Linked DNA regions of Neurospora crassa OR74A. The protein of the gene in region 1 binds, or shares a complex with, the protein of each later gene. Links are inferred from orthologs where the notes say so. Each region holds a gene or a part of one and is shown on either strand. Other genes may lie near its edges. The genes, in order: NCU09297, NCU02828, NCU09063, NCU07679 and NCU06216.

Evidence for each region.
Region 2: the proteins of NCU09297 (region 1) and NCU02828 are in contact, whole or in part, in a cryo-EM structure (PDB 6YVU), measured with the Saccharomyces cerevisiae proteins. The link is inferred for Neurospora crassa OR74A from reciprocal best matches to the Saccharomyces cerevisiae genes YCS4 and BRN1. Residues at the interface, in NP_013374.1 of Saccharomyces cerevisiae: Glu365, Gln368, Asp369, Ser370, Arg375, Arg405, Ser406, Gln408, Asp409, Arg410, Trp589, Ile641, Ser646, Arg742, Asn786, Tyr789, Pro790, Glu793, Lys805, Asp807, Arg815, Val840, Val841, Lys856, Tyr860, Lys863, Cys864, Ile917, Arg957, Thr958; in NP_009455.3 of Saccharomyces cerevisiae: Thr166, Leu167, Phe170, Thr172, Ile173, Lys174, Ile184, Asp185, Pro186, Phe188, Ala191, Leu192, Phe195, Lys201, Leu203, Leu204, Leu205, Asn206, Asn209, Ile210, Asp211, Asn212, Thr213, Ala214, Arg215, Val216, Ile217, Phe218, Asp219.
Region 3: the proteins of NCU09297 (region 1) and NCU09063 are in contact, whole or in part, in a cryo-EM structure (PDB 6YVU), measured with the Saccharomyces cerevisiae proteins. The link is inferred for Neurospora crassa OR74A from reciprocal best matches to the Saccharomyces cerevisiae genes YCS4 and SMC4. Residues at the interface, in NP_013374.1 of Saccharomyces cerevisiae: Glu901, Val1006, Cys1007, Val1012, Glu1014, Ala1044, Gly1045, Gln1046, Gly1088, Ile1090, Asp1091, Gln1126, Glu1129, Lys1130; in NP_013187.1 of Saccharomyces cerevisiae: Gln1283, Asn1290, Val1296, Asp1297, Ser1298, Leu1299, Asp1300, Ser1303, Met1311, Lys1314, Ser1316, Trp1317, Arg1360.
Region 4: the proteins of NCU09297 (region 1) and NCU07679 are in contact, whole or in part, in a cryo-EM structure (PDB 6YVV), measured with the Saccharomyces cerevisiae proteins. The link is inferred for Neurospora crassa OR74A from reciprocal best matches to the Saccharomyces cerevisiae genes YCS4 and SMC2. Residues at the interface, in NP_013374.1 of Saccharomyces cerevisiae: Val33, Ile34, Gln37, Asn95, Thr99, Leu104, Gln107; in NP_116687.1 of Saccharomyces cerevisiae: Ser53, Ala59, Ser60, Leu62, Gly111, Gln124, Asn139.
Region 5: NCU09297 (region 1) and NCU06216 share a complex: the UniProt entries of both Saccharomyces cerevisiae proteins name them as parts of the condensin complex. The link is inferred for Neurospora crassa OR74A from reciprocal best matches to the Saccharomyces cerevisiae genes YCS4 and YCG1.

Annotation. Positions count from the first base shown.
Region 1 is NC_026507.1:35,947-40,812, reverse strand, and holds the end of NCU09297 (condensin complex component cnd1), read right to left. Parts: coding exon 2,557-4,866; 3' UTR 2,242-2,556; downstream 1-2,241. Other genes in the region: NCU09296 (hypothetical protein), read left to right, coding at 1-1,202. UniProt on the Saccharomyces cerevisiae protein: Regulatory subunit of the condensin complex, a complex required for conversion of interphase chromatin into mitotic-like condense chromosomes.
Region 2 is NC_026501.1:8,975,166-8,981,885, reverse strand, and holds NCU02828 (condensin complex component cnd2), read left to right. Parts: upstream 1-2,372; coding exon 2,373-2,455; intron 2,456-2,558; coding exon 2,559-3,180; intron 3,181-3,234; coding exon 3,235-4,896; intron 4,897-5,092; coding exon 5,093-5,440; downstream 5,441-6,720. Other genes in the region: NCU02826 (sodium/calcium exchanger protein), read right to left, coding at 1-702; sec53 (phosphomannomutase), read right to left, coding at 6,123-6,375, 6,602-6,720. UniProt on the Saccharomyces cerevisiae protein: Regulatory subunit of the condensin complex, a complex required for conversion of interphase chromatin into mitotic-like condense chromosomes.
Region 3 is NC_026507.1:493,571-500,345, reverse strand, and holds the start of NCU09063 (nuclear condensin complex subunit Smc4), read right to left. Parts: upstream 3,789-6,775; 5' UTR 3,488-3,788; coding exon 2,315-3,487; intron 2,266-2,314; coding exon 1-2,265. Other genes in the region: NCU09062 (hypothetical protein), read left to right, coding at 4,214-4,370, 4,475-4,713, 4,789-5,292. UniProt on the Saccharomyces cerevisiae protein: Central component of the condensin complex, a complex required for conversion of interphase chromatin into mitotic-like condense chromosomes.
Region 4 is NC_026504.1:2,266,071-2,270,910, forward strand, and holds the end of NCU07679 (nuclear condensin complex subunit Smc2), read left to right. Parts: coding exon 1-2,294; intron 2,295-2,427; coding exon 2,428-2,692; 3' UTR 2,693-3,030; downstream 3,031-4,840. Other genes in the region: NCU07678 (hypothetical protein), read right to left, coding at 3,167-3,452, 3,531-3,645, 3,955-4,066, 4,158-4,840. UniProt on the Saccharomyces cerevisiae protein: Central component of the condensin complex, a complex required for conversion of interphase chromatin into mitotic-like condense chromosomes.
Region 5 is NC_026503.1:1,930,800-1,935,557, reverse strand, and holds the end of NCU06216 (nuclear condensin complex subunit 3), read left to right. Parts: coding exon 1-1,281; intron 1,282-1,337; coding exon 1,338-2,449; 3' UTR 2,450-2,728; downstream 2,729-4,758. Other genes in the region: NCU06215 (transferase), read right to left, coding at 2,892-4,077, 4,156-4,436, 4,500-4,729. UniProt on the Saccharomyces cerevisiae protein: Regulatory subunit of the condensin complex, a complex required for conversion of interphase chromatin into mitotic-like condense chromosomes.

The DNA.
Region 1 (4,866 bases):
ACAATGGATCTACCAAGGACGCCCAGTGGAGGTACTACACGCGAAAGAACGTCTTTGATGGTCTGTTCCAGCCGGTCAACATGTGGAAGAGAGGGATGAACAAGTCCAAGTGGTTGAGGCAGTCTCAGGTGTACCGAAAGAACAAGAAGTTCAGAGACAGAGTCAAGATCCATAAGCTGGAGCACTGCGGTTGGATCATTCAGACTTTCATCCTGATTGCTCTCCCACCAAGTGCAGGAGCAGTGGTGGCCTTGAAGACACCGCCGGTCGGATGGAGTTGTCGGTCTCTGAGCTTTGTGACGTATTCGGCCTCGCAATTTTTGTTGACTTTTGTCTACTTTGCTTACCTGAACATGTGGGAACGGGATCAAGCGAGACATGAAAACAACCAAGGCGAGGATCCAGAATCTGGCCAACAAGGGTCAAGGAACACATATCAAGCGGTGCACGAGAGAGAAGGCAGTGACGCGAGTGCCAACGGTAACGGCAGGTCCTCGGAGGACCTTCAACAGGTTCACACGGCACCTTTTCGCCCTCGGACCCCAAGCATGGACATGGACATGGACGACGAAGGCGTCTCGGGTCGTGATCGATACATGTACGGGTTAAGAGAAATCCCCACAACGACGAATCTACTACCCTCAACTCCTTCCCCAGGCCCTTCTCTCAGGCACATCCCCGATCGCGATCCTAGCTTCAGTCCAAGTCCCAACCAAAACCTCCTCTCCTCTCCTTATGATCCATGCCCCCCTCGACTTTCCATGTCCCACCTCAGATCTAATACTCCCACCCAAAGGCAGACAGTCCAAACCAAGTCCAAGCCCCGAAAGTCACTCCTCACTCTTTCCATTTACACCCTCTTCACCGTCTTTTTCTTTCTCTCTCTCTTCCTGTCAATCGGCACCACCCTCATGCAAATCATGGGCGTCTACCGCAACTGCTTCTGCTACATCACCGTGGGGTACTGGTTTGATACTTCAAACCCAAACGCCATGGTTAACGTTGCAAGCGACACGTGGTACCAGAGGCACTCAAGTCGTAATTGGATGGTGATGGGCGGGGTGGCGACGGCGTTCATGGCTGCTTGCGCGTATATCGGGTGGTGGTTCCAGGGAATGATAAGGAGGGAGCTGGCCGAAGTGGTGGAGGGGGAAGTTTGGCCTGGGTATGGGGGTGAGAATGTGAAGGAAAGTGGGAATTGAGAATGGTTCCAAGGTTCCACGGCGATGAAGACGGAGATGTGGGACGGGAGTCAAGAGAGGGAGAGACATGGAGGCTGGCCTAAGGGATGGATCTCAAGAGGGGGAGTGGGAGTGGGAGCATGACATAAAGTGAGAGAAAGTAATGTGTAATGATGGGATGCCGTAACCGAGAGTGATGGCGTTCAAGGGGGAGTTACAAGTAGGTTTGGGTTCAGCGTTTGTCAGTCTGGTGTTACTTCAGGTGCTAGATGGTTTCAACTGGGTGCATAACACGGAAGGATGGTATGGCGCATGCACATGGCGCGCTTGGTGCTAGAAACACAGATGACTGGTTGTATTACTATGGAGAGCATCGAATAGAGAAGGAACAAGAGAGAGAGGGCGTAGCAGAAACTTAATATCACCATATAGACCATGGATACAAGGCTGTTTCACTTCAGATTGTGTACGTGAATGGACTGACTGCAATTCCCTCCATCAAATCACGAGATTTCGTCCAAGACCTCATCTACAATCAGCCCTAACCTCACACCTGCAAAACTTACAAGTCGTACGACTACCTCTACGTTATCTAAAACTGCTCGCCATCCCCAGCCTCACGTCCGTACCCCAATCCCGGTGATGTCGGCATCTCCAGAACCGGCGATGTCTTCTTGCTATCCACCCCATGCATGAGCAGAAACTTTTCTAGGTACCTCGACTGGTCGAAATCATGACCCGCTTCGAATCATTGCTGCTAAGGCGTTCCGAACCCTACTATATCCCCAGAAGCTCCTTCCAATCCAACCGCTGCGTGATCCGGTCATCCCCGCTCCGGATCGTATCGGGAAGTCGTACATACCCCGGCGCACTTCACCATCCTGCACCATCCCGATGGCCCATCCCGATTCGAGGATGCCATGATTCCCACACACGCTACCCCAGATTTCCCCGTTCATCAGTCTGTTTAACCGCGTTGGGACTCCCGGTCATAGCGACCCGGCTATCCCAACACTGCAACGTCGTTTGACCGACGAGTATGGTAAAAACTAAAAATACTCCTGAATATTGGTGAAGAGGGTTGCGATTCCATTTGCCGAACTACCTGATGGAAAGGCTGAAAGAGAAACCGCTAATACAATTCTCATAAAGCAGATGCTTTACCTGCGCTAGGTGGGGGTCCTTCTCAAAGTTTGACATGGTCATGATACAACAACCCTAACGCCGTCCACCCAAGTCCCAATATCCGAACCATATTCGAATTTCCCAAGATCCCTTCCACACATCCAACCTCTTCCAACACCCATGTACACCACAAAAGACATAAAATTTGTAAACATTCATCCGCAATCTCCATTACCCATTCCACCTTTCCTCAAGCTCTCGCCTGGGTAGCTTGCGTAGCTCTCTGCGTCGCTTGCATCCCCTGTTGCCCAGAGGGAACCACCTTGAAACCCTCCGACACCACTTTAGCAATCTCCTCATTCTTGTGCTGCAATAGACCCAGCGCAAAGGCAACATCATTCCACTGCCTCTCCGTATCACACCTCTGCAACCTCGCCGCCAGCTTCTCCGCCAGCTGCTTAGCATGCCTATCCTTCTCCACGAAGCCGAGCAGAAACTTGACCACCCTCCTGAAACCCTCTTCCTCCAGACTGGGGTCGGACGAAAGCAAGCTGAACATGTCGACGAAGTGGTTGTAGACCGCATTGTCTTTGGTGGAGAGTTCGGTGAAGAACATCCTCGCCAAGTCAGCGATGCGCTTATCCCCGTCTTCGAGACATAGGGCCATTGACGCCAGTTGGCCCTTGACCTTGACCTGTCCGGCCAAGATGAGGAAGGTGAGCGTCATAAGACACGTGCGCTTGACCGAGGGGTCAGGGTCCGACAGGCGGCGGTAGAGGAAGTCGGTGTTTTCGTCGATGAGATGGTTGAAGCACACGGCCATGTCGCCAAGGGCAATGACGGCGTTGGAGCGCACGGTGGGGTCGACGGAGCGCTCCATAATGGTGATGAGAAGGGGGAGGTTGGCTTCGCAGTATTCGGAGCTGACGCACATGAGCTTGGCGAGACACAGGGTGGCGGCTTGCTGGAGTTCGCGGTTGCGGTAAGTGGTGTTGTTTGCGCAGATTTCCGACACCATGGGGCCGAACATGGCCAGGAGGGATTGCGGCCCATAGAGCAGTTCGCGCTCGCGAATATGAAAGATGGCTTCGGTGAAGTCGTCTTCGGTGGTGCCGCCAATGAGGTCGAGTTCGTCTTGTTCTTCTTCGTCCTTGGCGGCTTTGGGGCCGCCTGATTTGCGGCGATTGGTGGAAGCGGAGGCCGAAAGGGATGTACGCTTGCTTGTGGTTCCAGCTGCCTTTTCCTTCTCCTGTTTACGGCGCTTAAAGTCCAATTCACACAGTTCCAAATGAACGATCTGCTTGATGGCTACGTGGCCAACAATAAAGAGGAGCTGGGAAAGGGCGATGGCGTGTTCTCGGTGTTGCTTCTTGGCTTCAGCATCTTCTGGTTGGGTGGCGACTGGTGCTTGGGCGGATGTGGGCTCGTCCTCGTCCATGGCGTCCGGGTTGGGCTCTTCAGCTGGCGTGGGCTCTGCGCTCTCTGTTGGCGATGGCTTCTCCTCATGAGAAGCCGAACGCGACTTGGGCGGGCGAGCGAACACGCCCTTGGTCTTGCGGCGAATGATCTCGGAGCACAAAACGTCGGGGTGCTTGGCGATGGCATAGATGGCATTGATGGCTTGTTCGGCAACACCATACCACTCCTTGCTGTCAGTGGGCACCTCGGTGATGGCAGCAAGCTTGATGAGCAGGGCATGGTCGTTCGGTAGCCGGGAGAACTTGATACCGGAATCCTTGGACTGACGACCTGTGGGGTTGATGCGTCGAAGAGCAACGCATGTGTACTTGGCCAGTTGAAGATCTGCCCGACCGTGAGCGCCGAGACCGGTACGAAGCATGGTCTCCATCTCGCCCACGACAATCTCGGGATTGGCCGTGGCCAGCATACCCAGCACAATGATGGCGCCCCGACGCTGTGTCCTCGAAATCTCCCGCTTCTGCACGCCGTAAACCTGCCACAGCTTAGCAATGACCAAATCCGAGATCATGCCCGACTTCATCATGGTGCTAAGCAGCTGTTCCAGCGAAGTTAACTCAGCAGGAGTGGCACCGAACGTCAAACTAATCATGTTCCTAGCAATGTACGTCGCCGCGTCATTGGCATTGAAGTTGCCAGGCGCCTCGAAGAACAGTCTCTTGTAGCACTCGATCAGATGGGTCTGCACGCCCTTGCCTTCATCGCTATTACCCTTGGTCCAGATCAGCCTGAGCATGCGACGGATGCCGATCTTGTTCTGCTCGATGTTGTATGCGTCGCCGATCTCAAAGTAGTCCATGGCCTCGATGACCTCGCTCTTGTTTTTGGATCCGAGGAGCTGGCAGACGGTCTCGGTGGCCTCGTGGAGGACGTCGATAAACTTGAGCGCCTCGCTGTAGTAGCGCTTAGTCAGTGTGAGCTTCTCGATGGCTTCAGAGGTGGCTGCTTCTTCTTGGGCCCTGCGAATGGCTGCAATCTTTTCCTCCTCTGTCATCTCTGATGGCTGCTTTCTGGGAGATTCCATCATCTGGGTGGCATCGTCGAGGAGTGCTGGGTCTACGGAGGTGTTGCCGGCCTCGCC
Region 2 (6,720 bases), on another chromosome or scaffold:
CATCATGGTAAAGCTGATGGAAACAATAAAGTAAACGATATCTCGGACGAAGGTTCGTTTCTGGACCTTGAACTCGCGAACCAAGGCCATGGACCCGGCTACCACGGCAGTGATAAAGCCAGCAGCACCGATCAGCTCGCCCACCGCCATGCTCCCACTGTTGGAACTCATGGCGGCAAAGGTGCTAAAGACATCCGGGGAGCCATTGCCCAAGGCGAGGAACGTGACGCCGGCCAGGTTCTCGCTTAGACCCAGGACGCTCGAGATGGTGCTGAGGTTGATGCTGAAGAAGTCACTGGCAGCGATGCCGATCGTGGTAAATAGGAGGCCCAGCCATGCGGTCAGGACGGCGAAGGCGACGGGTTTCGCATTGGGTAGCGTGCAGTAGTAGAAGCTCAGGTAGTGTATTAGGCCGGCATCCTCGTCTTCGCAGTTGGCCAATATGAAGGCGCATTGGTCTTGGACCAGGTGGACATCGCGGCAATCGACGGGGGCGGTCGGTTCGTGCTTGTGGTGACCTCTTGCGAGGATTCGCGCAATATTATGTGGTTGTTGTTGATCATGTTCGGGTTGGCGCAACAACCGTGATGTCGCGAAGGGTCTGAGGACGAGCGCATAGGTTGCTAGACAGGTTATGAGGAGAGTCGACACGATAAAGGGTCGGGAGCTGAAGGGGCTCCGTTTCTGGCGATGTAGCGACATGCTGGACCTTTGGTCATGGCATCGCGTGGGGAATACTGGCTGTATGTGCTGGTGGTGGTGTGTTGACCCAAGGGAAGTGTCGCCACGGTGATGGATGATGGATGGATGGATGGACCGGCGGGGCAATCGAACGGCAGTTATCGTTGGGTCGCAATCGCAAATGTGATCGCAAGGTACGTATGTTGATGATGGCCGGAATTAAAAAAAAAAAAAAAAAGAGAGAAATTTGCCAGCAGCAGAAATAGAAAAGAAGAAGAAAAAAAAAACAGATAAGGCTACAAGTATGTCCAGTATGGTGTATACGATTGACGGGACGATGGCGTGGCTCGCGTGGGCGGGCGGGATTGCTGTGTTATGTAGGCGGAATGAGATCATCGTCGCAAAGTTGCCAAGGTGATTTCGGGTGGCCAGAAAGGTCGGATTAGGACTGGTGCGTCGAGGTATCCATGCGCCGCTTCTCTGAGACAAGACGATAGATTCATTGCATTGGAGATGGGTAGACGACGGATGGGCGCAAGGTAGGTATCTATTAGTGTAGATACTATAGGAAATAGGTGATTGGGAGAAAGTTGAACGAGAAGATAGAAGCTATCGATGTATGTAATCTAGAGTAGAGGCAAAGGGCAAAGAAGGAAGGCGGGGAATATTAAAAGAGGGTGACCTTCCTGGTTGGGCAGGAGACTGACATATCGCTGTGTTACCGTGTTCCTGATCTCAACAAGTTCCCTGCAGCAACCGAAAAGAAGAAAAAAATAAAAATAAAAAGGAAAGGAAAATCACGGAAAGGTAATGCTACCTTCTAACGTCTGCAGCCCCATGCGCAACCCGGTTGGACATGGAGACGCTGTTTCGGTTGGAGTCTGTCTTGACTGTAGAGTAGGAATACATACCTACTACAGATGCCTACTATACTTCTACAGTGCATACATACGCGAGCTCCAATCGATGCGGGTGAGGTGACCAACAGGAACGGAACTTCCATCTGAACTAACTCAAGAGGCTGTGGATTTGTGGCGACAAGAGAGATGAGTCTTGATCGCATCACAAAGAGGTCAAGACGGGGGAGGTAGCCCATATGCCCTGCCACTTGTACACTAGGTAGAGGTAGATATACGTCTCCTTTCTCTAGTTATGTAGGGAGTGCACATGCGTGACAACTTCGGACTCAGGAACTTCAATCGGAGTTTCAACTCCCCAAGTGAACCCCACATACAAGGTACACGTGTATGTAGTGTAAGTACCAGAAGGGGGGGGGGCTCTGTGTGATCGCCAACGGCCGCCGCATGTAACAGTATGTCCCTTGTACGTGTATGGATGTATCGATGCCCTGTAATGTACCGCTGTACCTGAGCGTAGTACCTTGACTGTAGAGGTAGCTTAGTCATTCGATGCCAAGCCCCCCAGACTTCCTCCCTTCAACTTCCTCACCCCGCTCTTAGTTACCTCTACCATAGTACTGCGTAGTAGGCCCCAGCACGTGCCGCCACCCGTCACCAGCCCGCCCGCTGAGACGTGGATCCGTCTAGCCCGTGTCTGCGCTACCTATCCAGCATTGGCACTCCCATCGTGGTTACGGGCGGGTCAAAGTAAACAAACACCACTGAAAGTCCAAACTAGACAGCGGCCGCCTGGAGCTTCACATCTTGGATAGCTTCGTCAACACCGCCAAGATGCCTCGCCTCAGCACAGGTCCGCGACGGAGCATGAGCAAGGGCCCTGCGGTGCCATCCCCGCTCAAATCCCCCGGCCTCAAGTACGTCTTTTCTTTGAATTGCGAATTGCGAATTGAACGTCTTGTCGCGTCCCTCTTTCATTTTCCTCCCTTGTAACTGACCAGAGATATTCGTCCCGACTAGAATCCCACTAAACGACGACGCCCAAGAAAAGGAACAACGATCGCGAGGACGCAAAGCCCTCCACGAGGCCCAGATCAACCAGCTCAAACTCGCCGCGACCGCAGTCGCAACCCCCGCCCGCAGCGTAATCGACGAAAATGGCACTCCGACCTCCAACGGACCGCGCACCCCGCGTCGCCGCATCTCTGGCAAGGAGAACTTCTCCATCCTCGACGACGATGACAGGCCGGTTGTGGGCGGCGCCGTCGTCACCCCCATGAAGCGCGTCCCCATCCTGGCCAACTTTGAGGAGTGGATGAAGATGGCCACCGACAACAAGATCAATGCCGCCAACTCGTGGAACTTTGCGCTGATCGACTACTTCCATGATATGTCGCTACTCAAGGAAGGAGACGGTGTCAATTTCCAAAAGGCCAGTTGCACGCTGGACGGGTGTGTCAAGATTTATACCAGCAGAGTCGACAGTGTTGCGACGGAAACCGGAAAGCTGCTCAGTGGTTTGGCCGACAGTCGCGACAGCAAGAAGAGGGATAGGGGCGAGGGCGAGGACGGCGGCGATGACGATGAGGAGGAGGACGAGGTGGACGAGAATGGCAACGTACTAAAGAAGCGTAGAAAGAAGGTTGGTTGCTCGGCTCACTGCTACGGGCGGGTTGCATGATACTGACAATTGCAGACCCAACGATCCTCCGAAGCCACCCTGGCACCCTCTTTCGCTTCCCTGCAGCTCAAAAAGTTCGAACTCGAATTCTCAGTAGATCCGCTCTTCAAAAAGGCATCAGCAGACTTCGATGAGGGAGGCGCTAAGGGTCTCCTCTTGAACCATCTGATGATCGATTCGCAGGGTCGCATCGTCTTTGACAGCAGCGACGACGCCATCGACACTCTCGACTCACGCAACCAAAAAGCCGCCGAGGAGAACGACCAAGATGCCGACCCGGACGCCATGGATATTGATGCGATGGAAATCGACGGCCAAACCGAAAAGACCCAGACCCGGACCCAACAACAAGAAGAAGAGGAGGAGGACGATGTGGAGATCGACATTGCCAGTCTTGGTGCTAGGTTCTTTCCCGATCTTGGACGACTAGACGAGATGGATGTGTGCCCATCGCTCAAGACTTTTATCCTCGGAGACCCCTCCGGATCCCTCGATATTCCCTTCCTCAGAGCGCCCGAGGACTGGCGCCAGGAGCAAGATAGAGCCAAGACCCCTGGCCTCGGCAACAAATCCGGCTTCATTATTGATGACGAGAACCCGCTCGGTTTCGATGACGATGATGCGCTGGGCGCATTCGACCTGGGAGGAGACGTTGACGTAGCCTTCGGTGAGGGTGGAGAAGCCTGGGCCCGCGAAGCCGCCATCGAGCCACAAATGATGCGGGTCTTTGACGCCGGTCTAGACATAGGAGAGGGCGAAGGTGGTGACGATGGTGATGGAGTAGACGGCGACCTCGAAATGATCGATCAAGACAAGGGCGATTTCGGCATGGTTAACATGACGAACGCCCAAAAGACGGACCGGCTGCACGAGGACATTCTCAGCTACTTCGACCAAGCCCTATCAAAGAACTGGACCAGCGCCGAGCACTGGCGCATTCGCAAGATCAAAGATGTCAACAAACCCCAAACGGGAGAACCACAACGCCAGCGCAAGGAGAAACAGGCTTTCGAGATCGACTTCTTCACCCCCGTGGATCGCACCCTTCACGACGTCCTGCACACCCAAGCCACCACCAACTCGGCCATTTCGCTGCCCAAGAAGGACTGGAAGTCCAAGTCGCGCAACCTGCTGCCGGACGACAAGCACTTCAGCTCCAAGCAGCTGCTCAACCTCTTCCTCAAGCCCAAGGCCCGTCTCGGCCGCAAGCAGCGCGCCTTTGGCCGTTCCAATGCCGACAACCAAAACCCAGACCAAGTCCCCGAGGGCACCATGGACGAGGCCTTCTGGGCCCAACAAAAAGCGCCGCTGAACCAGGGCCCATCATCGCAAGACGACCATCTACCGCAGGGTGACTACGACGCCAACTTCTTCCAGGATGACGGTCTGCCGTTTGCCAACGGCGGAGACGACGATGACGACGAAGACATGGACGAGGAAGTCTTTGCTGACGCACGGGATCACTTCTCGCCTGGCCCCGGTGGCACGCAAGGGGATGGCGCTGCCGGGAAAGAAGGAACAGCAGGACTGACGATGGACGTGGGCATGACGGGCGCGTTTAACGGGCTGACGGTTACGAACCCGGCCGATTTGGCGTTTGGCACGATGCTGGTCACGCAATCACGAAGAGTCAGGCCCGAGTATGTGCAGTATGCGAGACGGGCCAAGAAGGTGGATGTCAGGAGGCTGAAGGAGGAACTTTGGCGGGGGATGGGGATGGACATGTTGAATGGCGGACGTTTTTTTTTTTTTTTTTTTTTTTTTTTTTTTTCCTCTCTTCTTTTCTCCTCCCTGTTTTTCTTTTCTTTTTTTTTTTTTCTTTTTGTTTCATCCTCTTTTTATTTCTCCCAGTTACTAACAACACGAACAACAGATACCAACAACAACAACAACAACAACAACAAACCCCGAAGACTCCCTCCTCTCCCCACCCCCAACGACGACCCCATCCGCCCAACCACCGAGCTCCTCAGTAGAACCTCCCAAAGAAGGGGAAGAAGAACAGCAAGAAAAACCAACGCTCAAGTTCACAGAAGTCATGAACTCGCTGCAAAAAGTCTACCCGAAACAAGCCATGGACGACATCTCCACCAGTTACTGCTTCATTTGCTTGTTGCATCTTGCCAACGAAAAAGGGTTGGTGATTGAGAAGAGCGAGGAGTTGACGGAGCTCTACATAAAGAAGGACGCGAATGCTGTTGTTGAGGAGGGTGGTGAGTGAGTGAGTGAGTGAGTGATAGTTGGGCGCTAGATGGAGATAGATAGCATGGGGGTTTGTTTTTGGAGTGGATGTAGTTGTAGAGTGTGACGTTGATACCCCAGTTTAGCGGGACGGTTCGGTTGTTTTGCAACGACAACGGAGAGGAGAAGAAATAGTACACTAGTGAGTGAGCGAGTGAGTGAGTGAGTGAGATGGGTGGGTGGGTGGGTGGATTGGCAGGTTTCTTTCTTCCTTTTTTTCTCTGTCTGGGTGGGTGGGTGAGCGTATGAACCAGTATAAGGTATAAGGTATGGTATGATATGGTATGGTCTAGCACTTTGTGGTATATCAAGAATATGAAATACGGGTTACGGAATGGTATACCCAACGGGTCTCTGACAGTGTTGGTTTCCAATACAGAGAGGTGAGATGAGGAGGTATGTGGTACCAGCGTGAAAAAGATTAAGTGAAAGGGTCAACTGAAGTAAAGGAGCAAGGAAGAGCCTGTAAACAACCCTTTGGTCACGCATCATATCGTTCCCGAGGACTCTCCATTTTGTGTCTTCAAATCATCATTACCAATTATCTTCAATCCCTATATAGGCTTTTTTCTTTTACTTTGTTCTTCCATCATCATCATATCCCCACCCAACCCCCTTCACAGGTAGGTAGGTAGACCTCTGACACCCCCAAAACCCAAAACTTAAAGGTTAAAAAGCTTCCTCAGCTCGGCCGCCGTATCCTCCGGTCCGGTAACCGAGTGACCAATAGTCCTAGGATCCTCGTAAATCTCGTAGTCGTTACCGCCCTTGAAGGTCTTGTCGCCAAAGAAGTGGATGGTGTCGTACGTGATACCGCCGGCCTTCTTGGCCTCGTTCTCGAGGTGCTGCAGGCAGTAGGTCTTGTCCCAGCCGGTGGGGAAGACGTCGAAGGAGATTTGGCCGCCGATGGAGAAGCTGTTTGTTTTCCGTGTCTCTCTGTTAGCTTTGTTGTCTCGCTGAGAGAATGTGGGGGGGGGGAAGAGATCGAGCGAAGCGAGGTAAAGAAAAAAAAAAAAAAAAAAAAAAAGGCCGACCGCAGCAGACACCACACCACACCACACCACACTACCAAACGGGAGACAAGCAAAAGGAAAAAAAAAAACGAAAGAAAGAGCAGAGCAGAGCAGAAAGAAATACATACGTCAAACCCAAATGCCCAAACCTCTCCCTCAACTTCTCCACCATCTCCTTCCGCACGCCCGCCTCCTTATCAAACTTTTCAAACTCGTTTCGCTCCGCCGTGCTCGCATTACGGCCAAT
Region 3 (6,775 bases), about 460 kb from region 1:
CGCCATCTTCACCTCGGCGGCAGAAGTTTCCTCGTTTTGCGTGGCGATCTCTGCCTTTAACGAGTCCACAGCGGCTTTTTGAGAGCGAAGCTTTTCACCACCTACCTTCATGATCTTATCTTGAAGAGCCTTAATTTCATCCTCGACGGAGGACATCTCCTCGCGCAGCTTCTCGACCTCGCCCTCAAGCTTGGCAATTTCCTTTTCAAGGGCGGCGACGCGGTTGTCATCCGTCTTGGAAGGCTGTTGCTCCTTGCTGAGCTCCTTGATACGGCGCTGGGCATCGGCAAGGTTGCGCTCCGAGCTCTCAACTTCGAGGTTGATCTTCTGCATCTTGGTCTCAAGCTGGGGAATCATGGACTGGATCTGGCGCAGACGGGACTCGAGTTCTCGTTGGCGGTCTTGGAACTCGTTGAAGGCCTGCTCCAAGGTATCACGGTCCGCCTCAAGCTTGTCAACTTGCTCCTTGGTGGTGTCAGCCACAAGCTTGGAGGACATCAGACCCCGCTTGACTGTAGTGCCACCACCGGTCATGGTACCTGACTTATCGATGAGCTCGCCGGCAAGGGTCACTACTCGCCATCTCTTAGCGCCATAGGCAATGCGGTTTGCCTGAGCGAGATCCTTGGCGACCAATGTGTCCTGAAGAGCATGGTAGAAGGCAGGTCGGAACTTGTCGTCTTTGGGCTTGACAAGGTCAAAGAGACGAGGGGCGTTTTCGGGAGTCTGAATAGGAGACATGTCGCGGACTCGCAACTTGTCCAAGCACATAAAATTACCACGTCCGAGGTTGGTTTTTCGGAGATATTCAATACATTGCTGACCGGCCTCAACAGTGTCGGTGACAAAGTTGTCCAGAGCACCACAGGCTGTAGAGATGGCAATATCGTACTTCTGGTCAATAGCACCGAGATTTCCAAGTCGTCCATGAAACCCATCGATACGACCCGACTCCTTCATGCGCATAAGGGCAGTCAAGACATTGCCTCGGTTTTGTGTGGCGGACAAGCTCGACCGCGCCTCGTCAGCCTTTTGGCGGGCATTCGAAAGCTGTTGCCGGTACTTGGGTTCCTCCTCCGCAAGCTTGGAAAGTTCAGCCTCGATCTTCTTGCCCTCCTTGATCAGGTTCGCTCTCTCAGCTTTGCACTGCTCCATCTCCTCCGCCTTCGCCGCTTGCCTTTCCTGGATGGCCACAATTTTCGTCTCCATCTCCTCAAGGGCCACAGTTCCGGCATTGGCCTTTTCCCTGAGAATGGCCAGCTCACTCTCCGCAACGGCAATGGCGGACTGTTTCTGATTGATCTTGTCCTTCCAAGGCTCGAGAGACTTTTGCTTTGCCGCGATCTGATCCGAGTACTTTTGCGTCTTGCCCTTGAGGCTCTCACGTATCGTCGCAAGCTCGGCCTCCTCTTCCTTGACCTTCTTCTCCAGGAAAACAATGTCCTTTTGACGACGCTCAATCTCCTTGGTGCAGTTCTGAATGGTCTCCTCCGCTTCAACAGCCGTCTTCTCGGCGTTAGCGATCGTCTTCTCAAGCTTCTTACGCTTGTCCGTCAAGAACTTCCGCTTCTCCTCGAATTTGACGCGTTCCTGCTCGAACTTGTTCATCTCCTTGACCAGCTGCTGTGTCTGCTTCTCCCAAGAGTCGTATTCCTTGCTACCCTTGGAGTAGGCCTTTTCCAACTGCTTGATGAGCTGTTCGCTGCCGTGGTGCTTCTCAAGCTCAGCGTCAAGTTGTGCCTGCATCTGACCGATAGCCTCCTCTGTGACAGCAATATTGTCGTCGCATTCGCTGATGTATAGCTGGTAGAGAGCCGACTGTTTCAGCGCCAGTTCGTTTTCATCGCGAACATACGCCAGCGCCTTGTTCTTCTTGTCCTCGAGACTGTTCCTTTCCTTTTCCACGTGCTGGACACGACCACTCTTCTCCATGCAGATCTCGTTGAGGGTTTCGACTTCGGTGGCCGACTCTTCAATTGGTGTCTTGTATTTGGAAGTGCCAATAATGTCTTCTAGGTACTCCAACAGACCATCTTCGTGCTCGTTGCCGGCTTTGGGCTTCATCTGGGCAATCGATTCGACTTCGCCCTGGAGAATGAGAAAACGCTTGTGATCCAGATCGACACCACGGTCGCGGAGTAGCGTGGTCACGGTGGTAAAATTGGATGATTTGCCGTTGATGTAGTACTGGCTCGAGTTGTTCTTGAATGCTTTGCGCGAGATGACGAGTGTTGAGTCGGGGATAACCTCGTGGCCACCGCCGGGCTATCAATGTCAGCACAATGACTCCCCTTCAAAACAATGTTTGACTTACCAAGTCCATGACTTCCTGGAAATGCACTTCCACCTCACAGTAGTCGAGATTCGGAAACTGCGCCGAATTGTGAATCAAGGCCGAGATCTTGCCTTGTCGCATCTTGCTGGCACGGAAACCAAAGACGAACAGCAACGAGTCGATGACGTTGGATTTGCCAGAACCGTTGGGACCCACGACCGAAGAGAACGAAGCATGGAAGGGGCCGACCTCCTGTCTACCGGCGTAACTCTTGAAGTTGATGAGCACAAGATTGGTGATGACAATGCGTGGCTTCGGGCCGGTATCCTCGACGACGGGAAGAGCCATGGTCCGTGACTTGAGCACAATATCCATGGGCTTTTCCAGAATAGTATCCATAGCCCTGACGGGCTTCTGGGCCGCCACGACGGTTTCATCTGCTGTTGATGTTGGCTGTGTGTTGACAAGGGTCTCTGATGCCGCGGTCGCTGGAGGTGGTAGGTTGATGAGGGTCTGGGTGATGTCCTGTAGAGGAGCAGGTTGGCGATCGACGCGTTGAGTTGACGGAGAGCCTGGCGTTGGTGTCCCTTGACGGCTGGCTTGTTGCTGTTGCAGCTCGAGTTGTTGCTGCATGATCTTTGCTGGCGATCTGCTGAGGCGCCGCACAAGAGTTCTACGCTTCCGCGGGGGTGACTGAATTTCTTGCGTATCCCGTGCTTCTGGCTCCGCGATCACGGCGGTTGTAGCGGGCGAAACGGCAGACGCGACAGTCACATTGGGGTCGATACCCTCCTCGATCGGCTCATCCTTTGGCTTGACGGCAGGCGCTGGGGCTTCGGGTTCGGCTTGGGGATCGTTATTCGCTTCGACACTCGGTTCGACACTGGGCTCTTTGCTGGGTTTGGGCGCGGCATTCTTCTTAGGTCGTCCGCGCCTTTTCGGCGCAGCTTTTGGTGCCGGTGCCGGTGCAGTTGATGATGATGCTGCTGCTGGTGTTCCTGCCCTAGGAGCGGGCGTGGCAGTGGATCTTCTGGTGGTTCGCTGAGCAGTCTTGCGGGCTGCCGAAGCTGGCGCGGGTGTATAATCGTCCTCCTCGTCGTCATCTTGGGCGCCTCTCGATGTGGTGTTTGCGATATCGTCGTCTGATGAGGATTCTTCGATGATGGCGGCGCGCCTGGTTGCGGCGGCCCGACGCGATGGGCGCGTCGACATGACTGATGTCTGTCGGTGGTTTCGGCCTGCAAATTCTCGACTCGATGATGAAAACAACAGAACAGAATGGAACAGAAAGCGCTGCAAGATGCGGGTATCAGACAACCAAGGAGTGAAAGTTTATGTAATAACAAGTAAAGATGAAAAATGGTATTCACATTTCGCAGGGCAGTTGTTGCGACAGACACGGAATGGGACGCCCACGCAGAAACTCTTTGAGTGCTGTCGCAGCTTCTTCCTTGCCCCGCCGCGGTTAGATTGTTGACATTCAGGGCAGTTTTTGGACGGACGCTTCTTGCAATACCGTGACTGCGGTGGTAAACAATCAGCCACAGCAGCCACGGGCAGCCAATGCAATTCGTGCACTGCAGCGGGCGACCCCTCCGCTGCCTGGAACGCTCGCACCGTGTTGCGCTATCACTGCATGCGTGGCAGGCTGGTGGAGTCCCGCTCTGTGTAACAAACATTCCATGCGCTTACGGCTTTCTTACCTTATCGATAAGCCAAGACAGGCCGTTACCTAGCGCAGGTACAGATCCGGGGAAGGCTCCATTCCAGGTGCAGGGGATGGACCTGACGGACCCGATGGCCGTTGCATACATGTATCCCAGGCCATGACGGCACTCATCCATCCCTTCGATTTTCCCTTTTCCCTTTCCATTCAATTCATTCAACAGCTAAGGACACTTGGGCACTTCAACTGTGCAATCCAACTTCAACATCACGATGCTCGACTATACAGAATACAACAACGTGTTCCCCTCTCCGGGATTCATAAACCCCTACGATCACAAGGGAGCCAGTGCCATTGAGACTTTCCGCAAATCATTGGGCGGCGTCCTGTTTGTGGATCGCGTCCTAAGTCGGTTAGGCATCGCCCAAGGTTAGTGTAGTGTAAACACCACACTACCACCTAATCACCCTAACAACCCATGCCCTGTCGTTATAGCGCGCTTCATCGCTAATCACCACTGTAACTACCTCTAGGCACTGCATATCCGCCCAGAGGTGAGAACGGCTTGCGCTCCCTCCACCAACAAATCTGCCAGAGCAGCGCCTCGTCGATCCAAAAGATATCCGTTCTTTACTATCTCCTCCTCGACCATGATGACGTCCATCCAGGTCGTTCGCATTGGGCGGACAGCTTTGCTGAGGAGACGGGACTGCCGAAAAAGTACCAGATCCTTATGAGGGGCCTGTGGCACATGGATCGCATGGAGTTCAAGGTGCGGACGTCCGTTTGGTTCTGGAACCTAAGTTGCACACTGGACATCAAGACGCTAACAAACGCTGCTAAACAGTACGCAATCGAAAACCTAACCCACCCATCCCTCCCCACCGAATTCGCCGACGAAATCACCATCGCCCTTGTCCGCCATCCGCTCGTCAACAAGCGCAGCTCCACCAGTCAGAGCGATTACACGCTAGCTCTCGCCTACTTCCACGCCGCCCAGCCCGTCTTTACTTCATCCGAGGCTCTCGAGCTGCTCTTTGGCGCTCTTGCTCGTACTAACGTCACCGAAGCACTCGATTTCTCGCGTCGCTACCCGGAGTGGACCCGCCAGCAGCTGTTTGAAAGGTTAGTAGCTTCCATTCTAGAGCAGCCGGACAAGTTAGGAGCGAGGGGCAAGGAACTCGTTAGCGCGGCGTTGACGGGCGAGGAGGAAAGCTGGTTTCAGGAGTACTTGAGGCACGGGGAAGGAAGGAAGAGTAAAGGCGCAAATGCGCTTTTGAGGATGAGAGGGGTTGTGACGGGGAGGTTGAGCAGCACTGCCGCTCTGGAGAACCTTGCTGGTTATTCGTGAGGCTAAAGAGTTGTGGGTATACCTTCATAGCTTGGCAGTTTTCTGTCGATAGGTTGATCTCTGGCAACGGGCATAGCGACGGCGTTTGGATACTTTTGGGTCTTGCCATGGGGAGATGGTCACCTGAGTCAACATGTTTATGACTGTTTATCGTCAAACCGACGAGAATGCTCTTTTGCTTTTTCGATTTGCAGCAACGAAGGTCGAGTCTCGCTGACTGGCAGTAATGACTGGACGTTCCTGATTGGTTTCAATCAACTGAAAGAGGCATCCAAAAAAAAAAAAAAAAAAAAAAAAAAAAAAAAAAAAAAAAAACCGCTCAAAGACAATTCTGACCACCAAAAAAGGCCTGAACAGAACTTCTTTAGCTCTTTGTTGCTTGTGTAGTCCGATCGCAACTATTACTTTGAAATCTAGGTACAGAAATCACTAATAGGAAATCATGGTACAATCTGTTTGAGAATGTACATTGAGGACAAGCGCGAGATCTCAAGTACCAAAGTCACTTCTACATGTAAGCATCTCGATTTCTACCCACTGTACCTAATGCGCTGTAAGTTCATCATAACTGAATTCTACTTTTACGCTCTATAATTGACACCAGTCACCCGATTACAAAAAAGACGAATTTGATACCAACCTTAACTTGAATACTAGAATCATTCACCTCATTGCTTCGTTAAGTGCATCTACTTCTAAAGGTATTGAGTAGAAAAACTGAGGAGTGGCTGAGGTGAGTTTTGGCTCTTTTTGTCGGTAAAAGAATCGTGGGGCGTTTTTTTGTACCAGCAACTTTCTCTCCGCCCGGGCAGTTGGGTAGCAGTGGAAGGCACCCATTCACTCTTTCCCTGCCACTCTAATCTCCAGGCGGTAACCGGCGAAACTCCCGCCGTGCCACGTCAATGTCTTCCATCTTTCTTCCCTCCAACGCAAAACACCGTGACATTCCTACCATTACTACTACCAATCCACCACTTTGAACAAGTCCCGCCTAAACGCCATAATGTCGACCCACCTATGCGCGGTTTGCAACCGCTTTGTACCCCACTGGCAACCGAAAGGGTTCAAATGGGGGACTCCACATCACTCGAGTCTACACAACCTCCTTCGAGCGGCAGACGAGGGATGCTATATATGCCAGTCAATCACAAAAAGTTGTCATTGGAGGGATATATCCTACCTGACCGTCCAAGGCTTTCCCTTTGACTTTACAGTGTCTTTAGGGACTAACTATAACGGCTCTCACTTGACTCTTACAGTTGAAGCCACCTGTCTCACGGATGACTCGCCTAAACTCAGGCAAGCTATTGAAGCTCTTGACGAGATTAGGGAGAAGTGGCTACCAAAACTAGGGAGCATGTTGATGTTGGGATCAATCTCCTTTTCTTTCCATTTTCATCTCCGGCCTATCGGAAATGGTGAGTCATGTACCCTCTCGAGCAAAATAATAACAAAAAAAAAAAGGGTTGACAGAAAAAAGGCA
Region 4 (4,840 bases), on another chromosome or scaffold:
GAGGAGCAGGAACGGAGGAAAGCTGGAGAGAAGAACGTTGCGGACCTGGAAGCGGCGCTGAAGGAGAAGACGAAGACGTACGAGAAGATCAAGGCGAAATACGATGCCGCCAAGGAGACGCTTGAAAAGCAGAGGCAAGAAGCAGACACCAAGGAAGAGCTGCTACAAACCCTGCAAACTGGTGTTGCGTCCAAGGAGGGACAGGAGAACGGTTACCAAGGACAACTACAAGACGCGAGAAACAGGGCCACGGCTGCGGCAACTGAACAAGAGCAGGCAAAGATCAAAATCGCCCATCTGGAGAAGCGAATCAAAGGGGAAGAACCCCGGGCCAGGAAGGCCAAAGAGCAAAACGCCGGCTTGCTGAAGGATCTCGATGGCCTGAAAGCCCAGGCTCAGAGGCTTGAGAAGGAGCTTGGAAGGCTTGGGTTCCAACCCGGGACGGAGGAAGAAATGTATAAGCAGGAAAGCTCGCTCCAGCAGACTATCCGCAATCTCAGGCAAGAAGCCGATGCGCTTAAACGCAAGGTGGCAAATATCGACTTCAACTACGCCGATCCAGTCCCAAACTTTGATCGATCAAAAGTGAAAGGGCTAGTCGCGCAACTCTTTTCATTACCCAAAGAGTATATGGAAGCTGGAACAGCGCTGGAGATCTGCGCTGGAGGCCGTCTTTACAACGTGGTTGTTGACACCGAAGTCACTGGCACACAACTACTGCAAGGCGGTAGATTGCGAAAGAGGGTTACCATCATTCCCTTGAACAAGATCTCTGCTTTCAAGGCTTCTGCACAAACGATTGCCAATGCGCAACGAATCGCTCCAGGAAAAGTGCACCTGGCTTTGTCCCTAGTTGGGTACGACGATGAAGTGTCAGCGGCAATGGACTATGTCTTTGGAAATACGCTCATTTGCGCTGATGCAGACACAGCCAAGAGAGTGACGTTCGATCCAAATGTCCGCATGAGGAGCATCACAGTGGAGGGTGATTCGTACGATCCATCTGGTACACTATCGGGTGGAAGTGCCCCCAACTCGAGCGGCGTTTTGGTTACTTTGCAGAAGCTCAATGAAATCAATCGGCAGCTGAAGGAAGCAGAGACCGCCCTCAATGAGCTACGCGGCCAAATTTACCGGGAAAAAACGAAACTTGACCAAGCAAAGAGAATCAAGCAAGAACTTGACCTCAAAGCCCATGAGATCAAGCTAGCGGAGGAGCAAATTGGCGGCAACTCATCATCATCGATCATCCAAGAGATTGCAAATATGAAGGAAACAATAGTCCAACTCAAGCAGTCGATCATGGAGGCCAAGCAGCGACAGGCAGAAGCCACCGCCGAAGCCAAAAGAATCGAAAAGGACATGAAGGACTTTGACAATAATAAAGACGCTAAGCTTGTGGAGCTGCAAGCTTCAGTCGACAAGCTACGTGCGTCCCTGGACAAGATGTCTGTTACAAACAAGGCGTTGCAAAAAGAGCTTCAGGAGGCGCAACTGGACTCCGAGCAGGTTGCTGCGGATCTCGCAGCTGCGCGGGAGCAGGTTCAAGATATCGACGTTGCTCTCAAAGCCCAGCAGGAGGAGATCGACGACATAGTGAAGCAAGGAACAGTCCTTCAAGAGACCCACGACGCCGTCCTAGCACAGCTGGAAGACGAACGGACCAAACTGCATGTGTATGACGACGAGCTCCGGGCTTTGGAAGATGCTACCAGATCCAAGAATGCTCGAATCGCCGAGGAGGGGCTTGAAATGCAGAAGCTCGGTCACCAGATCGAGAAGTTCCACAAGGAGCAGCAGCAAGCCGCGCAGACAGCCTCACACATGGAGCGCGAGCACGACTGGATCGCCGAGACCAAGGACCAGTTTGGCCGGCCCGGAACGCTCTACGACTTCAAGGGCCAGAACATTGCCGAGTGCAAGTCCACGCTGCGGAACCTGACGGAGCGTAGCCAGGGCCTGCGCAAAAAGATCAACCCAAAGGTGATGAACATGATCGACAGCGTGGAGAAGAAGGAGGTGTCGCTCAAGCACATGATGCGCACCGTCATCCGCGACAAGCGCAAGATCGAGGAAACCATTCTTAGTCTGGACGACTACAAGAAGAAGGCGCTGCAGGAGACGTGGGAGAAGGTCAATGCCGACTTTGGACAGATCTTTGCCGAGCTGTTGCCGGGCAGTTTCGCCAAGTTGGATCCTCCCGAAGGCAAGACCATCAGCGAGGGCTTGGAAGTTAAGGTGCAGCTTGGTAAAGTGTGGAAGCAGAGCCTTACCGAGTTGAGTGGTGGTCAAAGGTAAATTTTTGTTTTTCAAAATCTTTTTTTCTTCTTCTTTTTCTTTCTACCGCCTCCCCCAATTCAACTCACCTCAGCCCGTCCTTTCATCCAAAAATCTCCCATCAAGCCTACTAACTTTGTCGTCGTCCAGATCCCTAATTGCCCTCTCCCTCATCATGGCTCTCCTCCAGTTCAAGCCCGCGCCCATGTACATTCTCGACGAAGTCGACGCGGCGCTCGACCTGTCGCACACGCAGAACATTGGGCGTCTGATCAAGACCCGGTTCAAGGGCTCGCAGTTCATCGTCGTCAGTCTCAAGGACGGCATGTTCCAGAACGCCAACCGCATCTTCCGGACGAGATTCAGCGAGGGAACGAGCATGGTGCAGGCGCTCACGCCGGCGGATTTGAAGTGACATGTTCACCTTTTAGGCAGATATACTTGTATGATCAAAGGCTGGGATTGGGATACCGAAGGGCGGAGGAAAAGGAAGCAGGATGGTCGTTTGTCAATGAACTTTGGGCGTGATGTCATCTGGCTTGGTTGAGTTATGAATGAATTTGTAGCTCTTACGCTTCATGTGTAATTGTGGGAAACGAATATGGAGAATCGACAATTGGGAGCTCGAATCAACGAACAAATTTGGTGTCTTCAACTCGGGACATTCTGGCGTGCGGTTATTGAGCTGACACATGGAAGCGACGTTTATGTACTAGCCTTGACCTAACCTCGCTGATTTTTATTGTTCGGGAGTGATCCTATTCCTTTATTCTTACAGTCCAAGTCTACCCACTGGTGCACTCCATCTGGATAGCGACGGTATTTCCCCCATACCCGTTGGTCTACGTTGCTTAACCGCCTAGACCCAGTGCTGTAATCATTTTCCGGTTCAGATATCCGGTCTGTCCTCCTCATACATCCTCACATACCGATGAGGCCCCCTGCTCAGCACCTCGACACTCATACCAACTTCGACCCAGCTTTCCATCACCATGTTATTGAGATTAACTCCTTCGACATCGGTAGTAGGGTCACGGTATAAAGGGGTCAGCTGCATGCCGAGACTACCGACACCCTTAATCCCCGGATCTACGTCTCTGTACTTTCGGAGGGCTCGGTCCGGCTCGGCAGGGTGACGGAAACCCGTGTCTTGATCTACGTTGGGCATTTTGCAGCTGTTGGGGTTAGTTGGGGGCAATCCTTTAGTATATATAACATTTCTACTAGATATGGGAAGTCCTTCACACACTTACCGTACGCATCGGCCAGATACGTGGAAATGGGTCTTGTCTTGTCTTTTATTGGAAGGTTCAGGATTGAAGCGGATTGTCTTCCAGGTTTCTTCTTCATAGGCTTCGACACCGTCAACTGTGATGTGTGATGAGGTTAGGTTAGTGTGTGTACGTGGGTGAAAGAGTGTGTTGTTAGCGTTACGAGATTGGGCCTTATTTTCAGAGGATAATGCAGGGTTGCTTCAATGGGGATATTGCGCCGAAATGGAATCTTGCTTCTAGAAAGCTTGCCCAGACAGCATGATTCGGACCATCCATAATGAACACCTAATTCCTCTACTAGCCATGTGCCTAATGACCCCTGAGGGGCAGCAAAATGGCCCAAGAGCTTTGGGGGGGTTTTGGTCGACTAATGTCCGAATGGGTAGCGTCCGGACTGACTTACCTATAATGTTGGCTCGAAACCTCAATGGGTCGAGTGATTTGAGGCTGTCATCCTTGTTGATTTTGGCGTCTAAATCTTGAACGCTTGAAAGGTTGAGCATATGCACGGGATACTATTACCAAATCCTCCGTTGTGGTCAGTTATACGGTCTGGATTTGCCTGATGTCCTCGAGTCACGGAGTAGGAAAAGGACGAAAACGTACCGCATCCTGCCAGCCGGTAACGGGTTGATAGCCGGCCTCCTCCTTTTTGGGTGCATTTCGATACACCTCCCGCAATCGGGACGGGTCGACGCGAAATAAGCCGAGCCTGTTACTCACTCCCAAGTGCAGCCTCAACTCCCGAGGTAGGTCCGCCTCCATGTTGAGCGCAGTGACCGTATCCCGCCAGATCTTCACCGGCTCCCATGTGTATTTTCTGGCCTCGATCTCCCCATCTGAAGGAAATGAGACAGGGAGCATGATCTCTTTCTCGGGTACAGCACGAAGCCCACGTGAGAGTTTTGCGCCCAGCCACGCCAGCGTGCCGCGCAGCCCTAACTCCTGCCAGGGAAAGCGAATGACAATGAATGAGTCTCCCAGAGAAGTGGACTTGTCGGTGCTGTCCCCAGACAATAGCTGCTGGCCTCCCCCTCGCGCCTTGCGGATATCAGGAACATAGAGATCCACACTGACGGTGGCAAGACGGGGAAATTCTCTCTGCGAGATGAACTGCCACGAATGCTCCTTCTTTGTCTCATCCAGGGTGTCGAGCCCGACCGGGAAAGGACTCTTGAGCTGAGCGAAAGTGTAGAGGCGGTCGTATTCGAGACCGGCGGGTATAACTTTGCTCTCAAGTACCTCAATGCCTTTGCAGGATTTTACCGGGAAGATCCATAAGCTCTGAA
Region 5 (4,758 bases), on another chromosome or scaffold:
AAGTGGAAGATGAGGAAGAGGAAGAGGACACAGTCGAGCAAGAGTTCATCGTCGAGCAGCTTCTACACATCGCTCTTACCCTGGACTATTCGGATGAAGTTGGCCGTCGCAAGATGTTCGCCCTTTTACGACAAACCCTCTCTATCCCGGAACTCCCCGATGAAGTCACCAAACTCACCGTCCAGGTGCTACGAGACCTTTGCGCCCCCGATGCTGCCGGCGAGAAGGAATTCTGCAGTATTGTACTTGAAGCCGTTGCTGACGTCCACGACACCATCGTCGACGATGTTCCTGACGAAGGCGACATTGACGACAACGAGTCCTTTCACTCAGCTAGATCCGAGGTCAGCGACGACGAAGATTCTCAATCTAAGAAAAAGAAGAACAAGGGTCCTGAACTGTCGGAGGAGGAGGCGGCTCAGAAAGCCATCAAGGAGATCATGATCAACATGAAGTGTCTCCACATTGTGCAGTGCATGCTCACCAATGTCGCCGGCAATCTCCAGAGAAACGATCATCTAGTTTCTATGCTCAACAACCTCGTCGTTCCCGCCGTGCGCAGCCACGAGGCCCCTGTTCGCGAGCGTGGTCTCGTCTGTCTCGGCCTTTGCTCGCTCCTCGACCGCTCGCTTGCCGAGGAGAACCTCACCCTGTTTATGCATTTCTTCGCAAAGGGCCACACTGCTCTCCAGATCACCGCCCTGCATATTCTTACCGATATTCTCAATGTGCACGGCGCGCAGCTGCTCTCGAATAACACCAATCTCCTCAAGGTTTACGTCAAGGCCCTGCGCGCTGGCGGAAGATCTCCCGAGGTCCAGGCGGCCGCTACTGTGGCCGTTTCCAAACTCCTGCTCGGCCGTGTTGTTAGTGACGTTGACGTATCCGCGGAGCTGCTCAAGACCCTTGTTATCGCGTACTTCGAGCCCGCCAGTGCAGAGAACCAGAGCGTTAGACAGGCACTCAATTACTTTTTGCCTGTGTTCTGCTACTCGCGGCCAGAGAATCAGGATCTGATGCGTCGGGTTGCGCTGGATGCCCTGCATACCTTGTACAATGTGCGCGAAGGCCTGGATGACGAAGAGGCCGATGTAGATGATCAGATGGTCAGCATGTCGACCATCGCTGCCTGCTTGGTCGACTGGACGGATCCCAGAAAGTGCTACAACCCCGATGAAGGGTTCAGCGCCGGCCTTGACCCCGAGAAGAAGACCGTTTCGGCAGATGTGCACCTCGACTTCGCCAAGGATATTCTCGAAAGGCTACAAGGAAATGGAGCCAGTACGTATTCATTGTTGCCTCTCCCACCAAATCGTGATACTGACACCCAGACACAGAAGAAGAAAAGCGCATCATGGCCGCCCTTCTCGCAAAGCTCTACATCCCATCCGGCTCCTCTTCCTCCAACCCCTCCTCGCCCATCAAGATCCGCGACGTCTACGCCCTCGTCACCAACGCTGTTGAGAACAACCTCCTCTCCGACGCCACCTCTCGCAACGCCCTCTACAAGGTCCATGTCTCCCTTGGCAAGATTGTCAACGCCCTTGATGCCGCCGCCGAGCAAGATGCCGCCAACAACGCCGCGGGCCGCCATGCCTCCATTGCCTCCGGCGCCACCACCCATAGAAGAAGCGCCAGCAGGGCAGGCAGCGTCGCTCCTAGCCGGGCGGGTAGCGTGGCGCCTCCGGCTAGCGAAGCCAGTGGCGGCGGCGGCGGCGGGGCTGTGTCCAGAGCCGGTTCCGTCGCACCATCTGCGTCTGGTGCTACTGCTGCGCCTGTTAACAGCAGGAAGAGAAAGGAAAGGGAGGTCAGCGTTGGCGTCTCCATCAAGGAGGAGGACGAGAACGAGGACGAGGGCGAGGATGTGGAAATGGGTGGTACGCAAGTGGGCGATAATGATAATGCTGGTGATCGGGAAACAACACCAAAACCAACTGCGACAGAAGCCCAGGAGCCGAGCACGGAACAGAGAAGGTTGTTGAGAGGCGTTTCTCTGAGGAGTAGGAGGCAGAGCTCGCAGAGTGTGGTTAGCGTACAACCGCAGCAGCAACAAGAGGAGGAGCAGGAAGAACAACAACAACAACAACAACCGACAGGAAGGAGAGGGAGTAGGAGGGCTAGTGCGATGAAAGCCAAGGCGCGGTTGAGTGCTGGACGGAGCAGCAGAGCAGGTACGGAGGATATTGCGGAGGAGATACTGGATGATAGTGATGGAGATACGGTGATGGAGAGGACGAAGATTGAGGAGGAGGACGAAGAAGAACAAGAAGAAAAAAAGCGCGAGGACGAGGAACAGGACGATGAGGTAGGAGGGGAAGAGGATGGGAAAGAAGAAGAAGAGGAAGAAGAGGAGGAGGACGGTGATGACGATGATGGAGAGAACGAAGGGAAAGATGATGACGAGCTTGTTGATGAGTTATTGTCGGATGAAGAGGACGACTTCGAATAGGGTTGCGTACGGATTGAAGACGGAGATTCTGGATTGTTGAACTACATATGAACTGACTTGATTGGGTTTGGATGGGACACTACGTAATATATGGAGGCTCTGTGTTTCTGGCTTTGGTTCATGTCGTTTGCTTGCTGTCGAGGCCTGAGCTTCTTGGGCTAAGACGTATTGCCTTGGTTTATTTTGTCCTTGAACATTGCAGGATACCATTGAATGAAATGTCAAAAGGCTTTCTTTGTTTGCTTCCATGCATTTCAACTTTAGCATCTCCTCATCCAAGTGATGCTGAGGAACGATTTCGAGAATTTATCTACTCGTTCTAATCTAACCTTTATATCTACTACAAGCAACCAACACACAATGATCCACACATCCTATCAAACCACCCGGCCCTTCCTTGGGCTCGTCCTCTTGGACAAGATTGTACCACCTCATATTTTACCTAAAATGACCCAAGCCAGAACAACAACCCACTCAGCCCAACATTAATTACCAAATGCTGCACCAAGCTCCAAGCCACGCAGTACAAGTACTTTGGGGAAAATACCGTCCACACGAACAAGTGCGTCCTGAGGATCGTACAAGCCGCCATAACCGCCGCGACACTAAACGCGGTAAACAGCGTCGTCACGGCAACATAGGTCTTGAACGGACTGATTTGCCCCCCTTCAAGCATCTGTTTCGCTTCCGCTTCTTCCTCCTTTTCGTCGCTCCCTCTTTTCCCATTGTTACCGCTACCCAACCTTTTCTGTCTCTGATCTCTCCGCCAAATCTCCCCCAAAAGCACCACCGTCCCAAAAGCCCACCACACCGGTCCCGCCCAGTTCCCCACGTACGTCAAGATGCCAACTAGGACAACGTTGAAATTGCTCACCCCGTTGTAGGCGTTAGATAGGTCCACGGAGGAAATCGCGTTGCTACCGCCCATAGCGAAAAAGGAGGCATACTGCAGTAGGAGTGAAGAAATTCCCAGTTCAACAGTCGACAGCCCTGTGCCGTCCGGGGCATCGATCTCGCTGGACAGAAACCAGTAAAGCAGGTTGAAGATGAGAAAGACGGGGATATTGGCCGTCCGGCTTTGTGTGAGGGCGAGGATGGTGTAAAGGTGTTGAAGAGTTGTGATTGCCTCGGCCGGCCCCTTTTTGCGGCGTGACCGTTTACGGTTCCCCCCGGCCCCCCTCATCTCCCAAAGGATAAACCCCATTGCCGCCATTGCCACCAGTCCTAGACCGACAAAGACCGCACGGGCGCGGGCAATCAAGCTCGCGCCCCTCGTGAAATCAAGCAAACTACTCTTCACGAATTCCACCACCAACTCGGGAGCGTCCTCGAGCGTGAAGGCTGCCTTGAAAGTGAACGCGGCCAAAACTAGCCCCGTCATGACAGGGTAGTTGATGGGTACCGGGATGCGGCCGTGAAAGGAGTAGACGAGCTGCCGGTGGGTCCAGAAGTAGGTGAGGCCGACGAGCAACCACAGAAAGTGGGGGTGGGGTTCGATAAAGAGTTTGACGATGTCCGGCGTGCCAGCGTGTTTTTGGCCGGTTTGGTTCCAGGCGCGAAGGAGGCGGAGGGAGGCGAGCACGGGGAAGGCGGTGAGGAGGAGGTGGGCGGGAAAGGTGGTGTTGGCGCTGGAGGGCGGTGAGGGTTGTTAGTTAAGGTTGGGTGTGAAATGATGAAGGAGAAAAAGAGAAAAGGGGAAGACGTACCGCTTGAATCCGCGGAGAGTGAGGTAGCCAAACCAGGTGCTCGTTGCTAGGTACCAAAAGTGCTGCTCTTCTTCGACATAGCTGCTGGCAAACATCATAATGCTGTAGGCTATGGAAATCACCAGTAAGGGGGTGAGAGAACGGGTCGGGGAAACGGTTTTGATTGCGGCGCTGAGGCTAAAGATTACGGCGAGGAGGGCGGTGATTTGGCCTAGAATGAGTCGGGACATGTCGTAGTTGCTCGCCATGCCGCTCATGAGCTCTTGAGCCTTGCGAAGCCACTGGAAGATGGTTAGCTGGATCGGAGGCGGATCAGAGTGTTGTATAGGTAAGTTGGGCATTACCGTGACAACAGGCAATGCCCACTGGGAGTCCATATCGTCACCAACTCTCGCAGACATGAGATTGTTTGAGGGACCTTGCCATTCACAGGCCAATTGTTCATAGTCGGACGTCGGGCTGGCACAGGATTCTGCGGGTAAAGCACCGTCGAAAGTTTTGGTACCCGATGCAGCCGAGATGACGGTTTGTATCTGGCGCGCATTTTCATGCAGCAGATAGGCCTGGTCGGCTTCTGTGATCCTATTAGAATATGGAATAACC